3 linked regions of the Rattus norvegicus genome follow. The protein of the gene in region 3 interacts with the protein of the main gene of each other region in a biochemical or structural test. Links are inferred from orthologs where the notes say so. Each region holds a gene or a part of one and is shown on either strand. Other genes may lie near its edges.

Region 1 (3,753 bases), on a different chromosome or scaffold from region 3:
AGAAAAAGAAAAAAAAAACCTGGAAAGGAGTCTAGGAGGAATCACAAAGGGGGTGGGGGGACCTCCCCAACTATACACACACACACACACACACACACACACACACACACACACACACACATATAGACTGAGCAGGACACACACACACACACACACACACACACACACACAGAGTTTATTGCAGCACTCTCTGCTGCCTTCTGAGATCCTCTGCAGGCTGGGGCACACAAAGTAAGGACTAGATGCCAACTCGCCCAGTTTAACAGGGAGAGAGAGCAAGAACCCACTCATCTTCTAAACTGGAAAAGACAAGAAAAGGAGAAGAGAGGGGGAACAACCAAAGAGTAGAGAAGAGAAAACAGGAATAGGAAACCCTTCACAGCGCCTGTTCAGGGAGCAAGGAGCTGCTCGTCCCCAGAGGAAGGGTACTCTGGCTGCTTGCGGGGACTCTGCGCTCCTTGGGGAGGGTCGGGGACAGCACAGCCCGCGCCCGCCTCCCTGTACACAGCGCAGCTCGCCGGCGGGACGCAGCGCCCGGAGCCCTGGCAGAGCCCGCCCTCCCTCCCGCGTCGCCAGCCGGCGCGCGGCGCCCTCTCTGCCCGTGACTTCAGTTCGGCTCCACCCCCGCGCAGCGGCGGCGGCGGCGGCGGTGGCTCGCAGCTCCGTCCCAACCCGCGCGCTCCTCACAAGCCCAGCCTGGGCGAGCGGCAGGCACCTGCCCGGCGCCGCCTCCGCGCGCCCCGCCGCCGCCCAACTTGGATGGAGTTGTGGTCCTGAGCGCACACCCTGCCGCCGTCAGCCCAGTGCCTCGCTCCGCTGCCTGCCTTCGGTTCGGGACCCCCTCTCCGCTCCTCTCCGCTCCAGAGATGGGAAAAGTTGGCGCCGGGGACGGCTCCTCGGCCGCGCTTAGCGCGCTCCTAACGGGAGCCGGGCTTCTGATGCTCTTAGCCCCTGGCATCTGCAGCAGCCTTTCTTGCTGCCCTCCGCAACACCCTAGCTCGACCCCACGCTGGACCCTTACCCCAAGAGGCTTTTCTTACCCCGGACCGCTGGGTCGGGCTCCTGCCACGCCCCCGCCCCTCTTCATGAGACCCCTGTTCGCAGTGGCCCCCGGGGACCGGGCGCTGTTTCTGGAGCGAGCTGGGGGCAGCAGGGTGTCAGTGGCGACCGCTTCACGCTCTGGCCGTAGGAGACGGAGTGGAATGGATCCTGAGAAGACTGAACCCGGAGAGGGTACGAGTCGGAGCCGCCGGGACATGCTAAGGGATGGAGGGCAGCAGGGGCCTGGGACTGGCGCGCGGGACCCGGACAAAGCCACTCGCTTCCGGATGGAGGAGCTGAGATTGACCAGCACCACATTTGCGCTGACTGGAGACTCGGCACACAACCAAGCTATGGTCCACTGGTCTGGCCACAACAGCAGCGTGAGTAAAGTGGAACTGTGGGCAAAGGGGTGAGAGAAGGAAAGGGTTACCATTCACTGTGAGAGCTGGTGGAGAATTGGGGGAAAGGGGTTTCTTTCTTGGGAGATGCTGCACAGTGAAGTCTTCCCATCTGGCCTCCCCCCAAGAGTTAATGGTGCCTACTAGGGAGTCCCCACCACCACCTTCAGAGTCTTCTCCAGATCAAAAGGTTCAAACTGGAACGGAACAGGCAGATCTTTTTTATTTCTTCAATGACACTGGAGAGTGGAACTGAAGACCAACTGTGGGGGTGGTGTGTGCGTTAAAGTATTTTTAATGCAGTGCTGAAAGGGTTAAATTTCCAAGCCCACTGAAATTCACTGAAGGGACATTTCCTTACCTGATAGACTTACTGGGGGTGCACGGAGAAGTCGCATCTGTGGGTTTTTTATTTTATTATTATTCAGAGCTCCTAGACCCTTGTTCCACCCCAGAGAAGGCAAACTGCAGTAGGATATAAGGTGCCCTTTGGTATTAGGATCTATTTGGGGACCAAACGGATGCAAGTTTCAGTGCAGAGGCTTCCCAGCATCTCCTGACAGCATTAGCAAGTGCATCTTGAGAGTCAGGCTTTTCTAACCCATGAAAGGGCAGTTGTTCTCTGGCATGGTCAGCCTGGGGAAGATCAGATAGATAGATTCCAGTGACAACAACTCCCTGTTTTCCCACCGACTGACCTCCTCTAGGGAGGAGCTCAAATAAAGATTTGAGTTTCCCTTTATGAAGAACAGGACGAGATTTCAGTCGCTGAGAAAAGATTTAGGGTGCAACTCACTGTTTCTATCAGGAGCTTCCGATTTTCAGAGAAGCCTGTATGTTTGAAATCTGAGGAAGCTACCCAGTTTAGCCCAAACCTAGAAACTTCAATGCGCTGAAATAGTAACGAAGCAGCTTTGATGGTAATAACTGAAGATTTAAAAGCGCGTAAAGTTCTTTAGACTGCCGTGCCATGAACCATGAAGGCGAGAAGAAAAGTTAAAGGTTTATAAAATGGGGATTGGGGGTTAGGTGGGGGTGGGGGTAGGGGGAGGATCTCAACTGCAGCTTCCATCCCCTGATGGAGTTGTGTCTGTAATGTGCACGGTGGCTACAACATGGTACCTTTGAAACTGTTTCCAGGAAGCTTGCCAACAAGTGCCACTTCACTGAGCTGTGTTCATTGTTGGGTTTTTAATGAGAGTTGAGAAGGTTTTGAAATATACAGTGTCATGCATTAGGCGGTCTAGCCTACCCTCTACTGAGGACAGCCCCTGATTTCTGTCTATTGCAGCCTTCATGTGGGGCTGCTGCTGGAGGTTCTCAGAAACGGTTTTAATCAAAATCTAAAGTTGAAGCAATTCCTACTCAAGTTCTGGACACTCTTGTCCTGGAGCACTGTGCGATCTACATCTTTTGTCTAATTGTTGCTGAACTTGATCCTTTCATTTTAACGTGGATCTTCCAATACTGACTAATAACTCCAGCTCCATTAAGTGATTAACTCAGAGCTCTGGCTTTAGGAGGAGATTTTCAATGTATCCAATGTGTTAGATCTTGTTGTATTAAGAAGAAGAAAAAAAAAAGAAAGATAAAACTTTGGACCAAAATATTTCTGGCTTTTAACGTAATTCAGGTTGTAAAATGTCGCTCACCCATTAAACCTCTACTTCAGTTCATCTCTTAAAAGATCTTGGAAAGAGAGTACATCCTTGGCAAATTTTAACCTCCATTTAGAAATGGCGCCAAGCACTGCCAGCTTTTAATTTTTTTTTTTTTTTGATGCACATGAGCTGAATGGGGCTTACTAGAATTGTGGCTTAGGGCAGGAACATGAATCTAAGATAATGTAGGAAATAATGAAGGTGCTGAGTGTTAAAGGCTGAACACTCAAATTATGCTAAGCACAGTGATGAGGGGGGCTCATACCTCACAGTTCCCTCCCGTCCTCTCTCCTCCCAGGTCCAGCTCTAAGCATCTCATGTAACTGCTTTATCTATCTTATTATGTATTGTCTAGATGATGAAGAAAGAGAAAACATTGTTTATCCAGTTCCATTAAGGAACCCGGGAGAGCAAAACGTTAAAGCATTTTGTAAAGAGGAACGATGCAGAAAGACACTTTGGCTAACTTTGTGCAATGGAAGCGTAGAAAGACCTGAATCCTGTTTCACTCCTTAGTGTTTTACTACAGCATGGGCAACATGCTGTGGGTGAGGAATTCATCTACAGTTGGGGATGCTTCAAGATTAATATTCAAGAATCATATATTAAGTTACTTAGGAATATTTTCCTGTGACAAAAATAATATTTTG
Region 2 (3,653 bases), on a different chromosome or scaffold from region 3:
CCAATTTTTTTCAATAACATAATTATATAAATATACTAAAATACAATAAATATTTTTCTTGTTTTACATGGTGAATAATATCTTTACCATAGAGAGAACAAGGCCACAGACATTTACTTACAGTTTCAATGGGAATCACTATAAAAAGCATCAGGCCTGCTGCCATGCATGAAACACTTCTGCCAAAAAGAGACCACAGCAAGACTTTCAGAACAGAACAGAACAGAACAGGACGGAAACAGAACGAACAGAAACAGAGGAGAGATTTTAACAAATCAATCTCAGGTCAACATAAACCACCGACATGGAGCTATGATGTATCTTAGTGGGTATGAGAGCCAGCCACTGACCACACAGTTGCGGAGGGTCTCCTATGAAGCCACCTAATCGACCTGGCCCTTCGAATACCGTGAGATTGTGATGGGGCTCCTTTTATTTGTTTGACTAACGTCTCTCAGAATGAAGCTGCAAAAAGTTAGCATATAGCAGATATTCAAAGCATTCCTTAATAGGTTAAAAATGATGACAGAGATTAATGTTGTCAAACGGCACAAAACAATCTAGGCTACGTGAAGTCTTCCAAAAACAGGGGATTCAGTGGGACTCCAGAAGACAGACTAGTTCTAAAGGAACAGTTGAACAAAAAGAAACTATTTGCTGATGGTATCTTCACTCCCTGAGTCACAGTGGACAGCCACTTTGTTTCACCCTTTCCACTCCTAAGATGAAGCAATTGTTTGCCTCTTTTTCTGATGCCCAGGAGCCCAGTCAGGTAACCACTAACACATTCGCGCTGGCGGAAAACCTCACTAGGGAAATGGGCTTAACACTAGTTCTCATTGGGGCCATTCATTCAGGCTTCCAGCTTGACTTCTCCTAACCCCAAGAGGTAAAGTGTAGAAGGGACCCTTGTGCTGAATGGACAGAACTATCAGGAGCTTTCTGTGCTCTTCACTTAAGCAGTATTTCCTCCTGTGTTCTTGTCTCTTTCACAGTGAAAGCACCTTCCTATGCCTTGTCATTCTAGCCCTTACAGACAGACATTGCTCATTCTGCCTAAGTTTTGGTGCTTTTTCTGGTTTTGTTTGTTTGTTTTCTTCTTTCTTTTTTCCTTTCACCAAAATGTCTCAAAAAAATAAATAAATAAAACCTAGGCTTCCTGAAGTCTAAGCGCAAAGAAAGTTAAGTCTCTTCACAGCAAACATTTCCCATCATGCTGCACTGATAGCATCACTGCTATGCCATATTTGGATCCAAAGCTGCTCCAGGTTAATCCAACTTTATCCATAATTATTTAAAATGGGATGGAGGCCATAAATGGATTTGAGTGTGGTTCTCCAATTGAGAACCTCTTGAGCACTGTTAGGTAACGTAGGCACTTAAAGCAGAAGGCCTAAGAAACTTGACACATCATTCCAGAGCCTGCTCTGAAGGGTGCTTCCGAGCCTTCCTTTAGGAATGTCTCAAGTACCATTCCCCACCTCCATCTAGACCTCAGGATGGCCACTCAGAAATTCCTCCTGCTCTGCCAGGAAATAGTATGTCAGCTCCACTTAGCCTCCACAGGGCCATTCAGTCGCATTTCAGTGGCAGTGTGGATCCCTGCTCTAGTATCTGGCTGTATGCAATATCTTTTATCTGCAAACATTGTTAGGCCATATTATAACTTATCCACTGTTTATGCCTTTAAAAAAAAAGAACATTTTCGGTTATTCTTACTTGTTTCTCCTTAGGGCAAAAAATAAAAAAAAAATCACTGTTTTCCACGAGTGTCATGAAATGACACACATTGTTCATCTGTTCACAGCAGTGATAAAATATTTCAAAGCGCGCAACTTAATTTTCTTTCTTAAAACAAAACAAAAAAGAAAGGGACCAAAATGGGAGGAGGGAGGGAAAGAATGTGCTTTAAACAAATGCTGGTCTTTCCAATAAAAGCAGCTTTCCCTGACCCATGCCAGAAGAGTGACCTGGGGGACCAGGGAGATACATCATGGGCAGTGTTGTGTGAGCATTTTATTCAGTTGCCTTAATTTTTATTCGTTTTCCAGTCATCTGATTGGATTTTGCAAACATTTTTTACAACATACAAATGTAACGCTTTATCAACCAGAATGGAGAGTGAAGAAATTTTCTCCATCCCTACTCCGGGTGGAACTAAAAAAACAAAACAAACAAACAAACGAAATAAAACACAAAACAAACAGAAATCTACCCCTCCCGTTCCCCATCCCCTAAGCCAGTAAAGCAATGACAACAGCACCTTGACATAGTTTTAATTCCAACGCTATGAGAAGTTGAAAGCAGTAGAACAGAGTACTAACAAGAACGAAGATACTTAGTGTCTAAAATGTAAACGGAATGTTTTGGTTCAAATTTTTGTTTTTGCTTTTTTTTGTTTTTTGTTTTTTTGTCTGTTTTCTGAAAGAGGGACAGTTTATTATCAATTCACAATTAAAGCAGCATGCAATTTATTATTTTTTTTAACTTTTTGTTTTCAATTCTTGGCAACGGCAACAAACCACAACATTATCGAGGAATGTAATGCAGACTTTTAAAGTTGTGCGCAAATGACTGTTTCTTTCTGGTCATGGATATGTCCAATAAATAGATTGTAGAACCACTGTACTGTATAAACTTCATTTATACATGCAGTTCATAAAATTATCTTTTTCTTAACTGAATAATTTACCCTGTTATGTATATATACAAATAGATAATTTTTGTCTCAATATAATCTATACAACATAAATCCACTATCTTCCCCTTTTAATGGTCAGTGTACATACACAGGAAGTGTCTATCCTTATGAACCGCCAGCCAATTCTCTTTTTGCTATCCATAGTAAGGGCCCGAACATACGATTGGGTAGTTCGGCATTGCGAGTTCCAGTGCCTTTTGTCTATGCCCCTGCAGCCTTCCTTCGTGTAACCCATGGGATTACACTTGGTCTCGTAGAAATATTGCTTCAGTTGGCCTTTTGATACCGGGACTTTCTCCAGGACTGTGACCGTCCCACCGGACATGTCCACTGCAGTCTTTTTATCTGCCGCTGTGACCCACTCGCTAATACTGTCACACACGCTCAGCTCCCCACGGCGGGCGGGGTCGGAGTGGCGCCGAACCCTCATAGACATGTTTGCGGCATCCAGGTAATTTTTGTATTCCTCCAGCAGAAAGAGCAGAGGAGGCTCCAAAGGCACTTGACTGCTGAGCATCACCCGGGAAGTGTACAAGTCCGCGTCCTTATGGTTTTCTTCGTTGGGCCGAACCTTCTGGTCCTCATCCAGCAGCTCTTCGATCACGTGCTCAAAAGTGTCAGCCAGGGACGTCGTCGTCAGACCTCTCGAACCTGCCCTGGGCCCATTCACGCTCTCCAGAGTCCCATGGGTCCGCACAGCTGGGTAGGCCAAGTTGCCTTGTCCGTGGACGTTTGCTTCTTTCATGGGCGCAGCCTTCATGCAACCGAAGTATGAAATAACCATAGTAAGGAAAAGGATGGTCATCACTCTTCTCACCTGGTGGAACTGTGGGAAGGAAGCAGAGACAGACACAGAACAGGTTAGACCTTACTTTCTTGGGGACACCATGTGGCCCATCTGCTTGTAATTTCAGACCTTTTTTCTTTCTTTTTTTCTTTTTCTTTTTTTTTT
Region 3 (3,653 bases):
GAGAGATGGCTCAGCGGTTGAGAGCACTGACTGCTCTTCCAGAGGTCCTGAGTTCAAATCCCAGCAACCACATGGTGGCTCACAACCATCTGTAATGCGATCTGATGCCTTCTTCTGGTTTCTGAAGACAGCTACAGTGTACTTATATATAATAATAAATAAATAAATCTTTAAAAAAAAAAGAACCTCAGGGTGATAACTACAGTCTACACGCACTATGGCTTAACTCGAGGTATAGAACCAACCCATGTAGCTTCTTCTTTTTAGTGATCGATTTATTTTTATTTTATATGCATTTGGTGTTTTGCTTGCATGCATGTGTGTGTGAGGGTGTCAGGTCCCTGGAGCTGGAGTTGCCATATGTGGGTGCTAGGAATTCAATCTGGGTCCTCTGGGAGAGCAGCCAGTGCTCTTAACTGCTAAGCCATCTCTCCGGCCCCCAGTCTATGTCTCTTTTGCTAGATGAATGCATAAAGAGAGGATACAGTGCATGCACAATGGGATGTTAATCATTCTCAACAAAGGACAGCCTGCTGTTTGCAACCACATGGATGAGCCCAGGAGGCTGTCTGCTATGTAAAATAAACTAGGCATGAAAGACAAATGCCACATGATGTCACTTAAATGTGGAATCGACAAAACACACTAAACTCATACAAGCAGAGAGCACAGTGGTAGCTGCCAGGGATCAGGAGGCAAGACAGGGAGGGGAAAATAAAATCTTTAAAAAACAGGGGAGTGGGAGCTGGGGGGATGGTACAGAGGTTAAGAGCACTGACTGCTCTTGCAGAGGTCCTAAATTTAATTCCCAGCAACCACATGGTGGCTCACAACCATCTGTAATGGGATCTGATGCCCTCTTCTGGTGTGCATGAAGACAGCTACAGTGTAGTCAAATACATAAAATAAATAAGTAAAATCTTTAAAAAAAAAAAAAAAGACAGGGGGGGCGATATTGGCGAAAAGGTTCTGAAGCTTCTGTTTTGGACAAGTAAGTTCTGAAGAGCTAGTAAGCATTATGGACCGCATCCTGCAAACTGTGTGACATACTTGAAATCTGCTAAGAGAATAGGTCTAAATGCTCGAATCACACATAAGAAAGAGATAGCTTAGTTAACTGATGTATGCATTAATTAGCTTGACTATGGTCATATATCTTACAATGTATACAGACAGGAAAATGTCAAACCATACATTATGAATATATGCCATTTAAATTTATCAACTATACCTTACTGATGCTGAGGGAAAAGCACATGTCAGAAAGTAGGCAAATGTGTGAAGGCAGTCTAACCACTAGTGCCATTCAAGGAGCTCATATGAGGCAGGCGTGTAATATCCACACTTAAAAGACAGGGCTCACAGATACAGATACATATGACCTCGAGATTAGCCTGGTCTACACAGGCCCAGTCAGAGCCACACATGAGATCCTGTCTCACACAAGCAGATAGATCTCAAGTGGTCACAATAGTAAACATTATGTTTTCTTATTTTGCAAAAGGCTAAGCCAACTATTAGTGGAATAAGAATGATGACTGGTTCTAACTGGATGGGCGCCAAGGTAGGCTAGGACTACTGCAGATTACAACCAGCCGGGGTTTAGGGACACAGACGTGGCTTCTGTGAGGACACTGGGAGGATACAGAGGGTGTATAGAGAACAGCAAGGGTGTGTCGGTGGGGAGAGGTAGACAGAGCCAGGCAGGACAAAGCTTTCATTCACAAGAGAGGCTCAGTCTTTACCCCAGTAAAGCGAAACCAAGAGAAGGTCTTGAGGGAGCCAGGGGAGCCAGAAAGCGCCAAGGAGAGAAGAGACTATAGCCCCTGCCTTGGGCATGGTGAACTGGGCAGGGGTAGCACAAACCCAAGGCAGAAGAACAGAAGGATGGAGAAAATAGAAGCAGATGCATTAAGTATGGATACGAAAGGAGAGTGTGAGGAGAAGGTGTCACGCCATGTGAGATTCCCCACAAAAAGACTCCAGGCTGGAGAAGCAGAGGGGCCCTGTGTGTAACAGGTCTGAGAGGAATGTGGGAACAACCAGCTTCACTGTTGTTGAACTAAGTTCTTCCAGGCTGTGCCTACCCACACCTATAATACAGGCTGCTCTTTGGCCCCTGAAGGACTTCCAAGGCCTCACCCCACCATGTAGATCCTTAGCTAACAATAAGTACATCTGTCCATTCTGTCTCCCCTCAGAAATTTGGTAAAACAAATGGTTGTTACTCCATCTTGTTTTTCTTTTAAAAAGTCAGGCAAGCCACAGTATCTTGGCTTCTCCGTACAGTTTCTACTTCACGAATCCTAAGTAAATTCATTATTCTCATTTCTAAGCCTTCCACCTTCGCCTCTGGACCCTGACCAAGAATGAGATTTCATCATGGAAAAGCTCAGCATTGGCAGGAACAGAGCAGGCTGGCTGCTTTTCTGCACACACAGATGATGGTTGGCACCAACAAACCTCATTCTTGTTCTTTGCGGTAGCATCGCACTTGCTGTTCTCCGGCTTCTGCAGATGCTCCCACCGTCCTCCCTGGTCAAAAGTGATCATGCTCTGAATGGAATTATCTAAATGGGGAAAGAGTAACGTAAGCCCAGTGCATTGAAGAAAGAGTGATGTAAGCCCACCCCACTGGAGGCTACTACTCCAGTCAGCCAGCTACAATGGAACTGCTCTTCAGAAACTCCAACCATCCATCCATCCACCCATCATCCATCCATCTCTCCATCCACCCATCCATCCATCCATCATCCATCCCTCCCTCCCTCCCTCCATCATCCACTCATCCATTCATCCATCATCCACCCATCCATCCAATCTCTCCATCTACCCATCATCTATCCATCTCTCCACCCATCCATCCATCATCCATCCATCCATCCATCCATCTATCATCCATCCATCATCCACTCATCCATTCATCCATCATCCATCCATCCATCATCCATCCATCATCCATCCATCATCCAGCCATCCATTCATTCATCCATCCTTCCCTCCCTCCATCCCTCCCTCCCTTCATCATCCATCCATCCACCCATCCACCCATCCACTCATCCATCCATCCATCCATCCATCATCCACTCATCCACTCATCCATCCATCCATCCATTCATCCATCATCCACTCATCCATCCATCCATCCATCCATCCATGTTTACATATAAATGCATATTCTGTGTTGAGCACATTTCCCTTCGTGCCCTCCCCTTCTTACCCACTCCTCTGACTGTGGAACCCCATCTTAACACCTTACGCAGTAGCTCAGCACTGGTGACTATCAGGCCAGAAGAAGGTGTACCACTTGAACAGGATGTCCCAGCCAACCACCAGGAACTGTTGCTACTGAGAAACCCCAAAGCTCTCTCTTATGCTGTAATTTGGATCTCAAAGTCCTTCCTCATTGCCACTGCCCGGGTAGTCACAGCTTGGGTGCCAGACTGAGATTAGGCCAATAAGAGGAAGTTCCGTCACGGGCTGTGTCCATGAAGGGACGTCAGGGTCTTTCTCTTCCAATATCTGAGGCAATGGGCTTCATCTATTACATCTATCACTTCTACCATGATGCGGTGATTCAGACTCAAAAGCAGTGGGGATACCTGGCCACAGGTGGAAACTGCTCCAACTGCGAGCCAAGAATAGCTTTTACA

The links.
Region 1: the proteins of Sort1 (region 3) and Sorcs1 form a complex in vitro, tested with the Homo sapiens proteins (2 studies listed by BioGRID and IntAct, with this or other methods). The link is inferred for Rattus norvegicus from reciprocal best matches to the Homo sapiens genes SORT1 and SORCS1.
Region 2: the proteins of Sort1 (region 3) and Bdnf form a complex in vitro, tested with the Homo sapiens proteins (2 studies listed by BioGRID and IntAct, with this or other methods). The link is inferred for Rattus norvegicus from reciprocal best matches to the Homo sapiens genes SORT1 and BDNF.

What each region holds. Positions count from the first base shown.
Region 1 is NC_086019.1:259,532,600-259,536,352, reverse strand, and holds the start of Sorcs1 (VPS10 domain-containing receptor SorCS1 precursor), read left to right. Parts: upstream 1-866; coding exon 867-1,424; intron 1,425-3,753.
Region 2 is NC_086021.1:116,666,429-116,670,081, reverse strand, and holds part of Bdnf (brain-derived neurotrophic factor), read right to left. Parts: intron 3,528-3,653; coding exon 2,757-3,527; 3' UTR 1-2,756. UniProt on the Homo sapiens protein: Important signaling molecule that activates signaling cascades downstream of NTRK2. During development, promotes the survival and differentiation of selected neuronal populations of the peripheral and central nervous systems.
Region 3 is NC_086020.1:198,667,871-198,671,523, reverse strand, and holds part of Sort1 (sortilin precursor), read right to left. Parts: intron 2,571-3,653; coding exon 2,464-2,570; intron 1-2,463.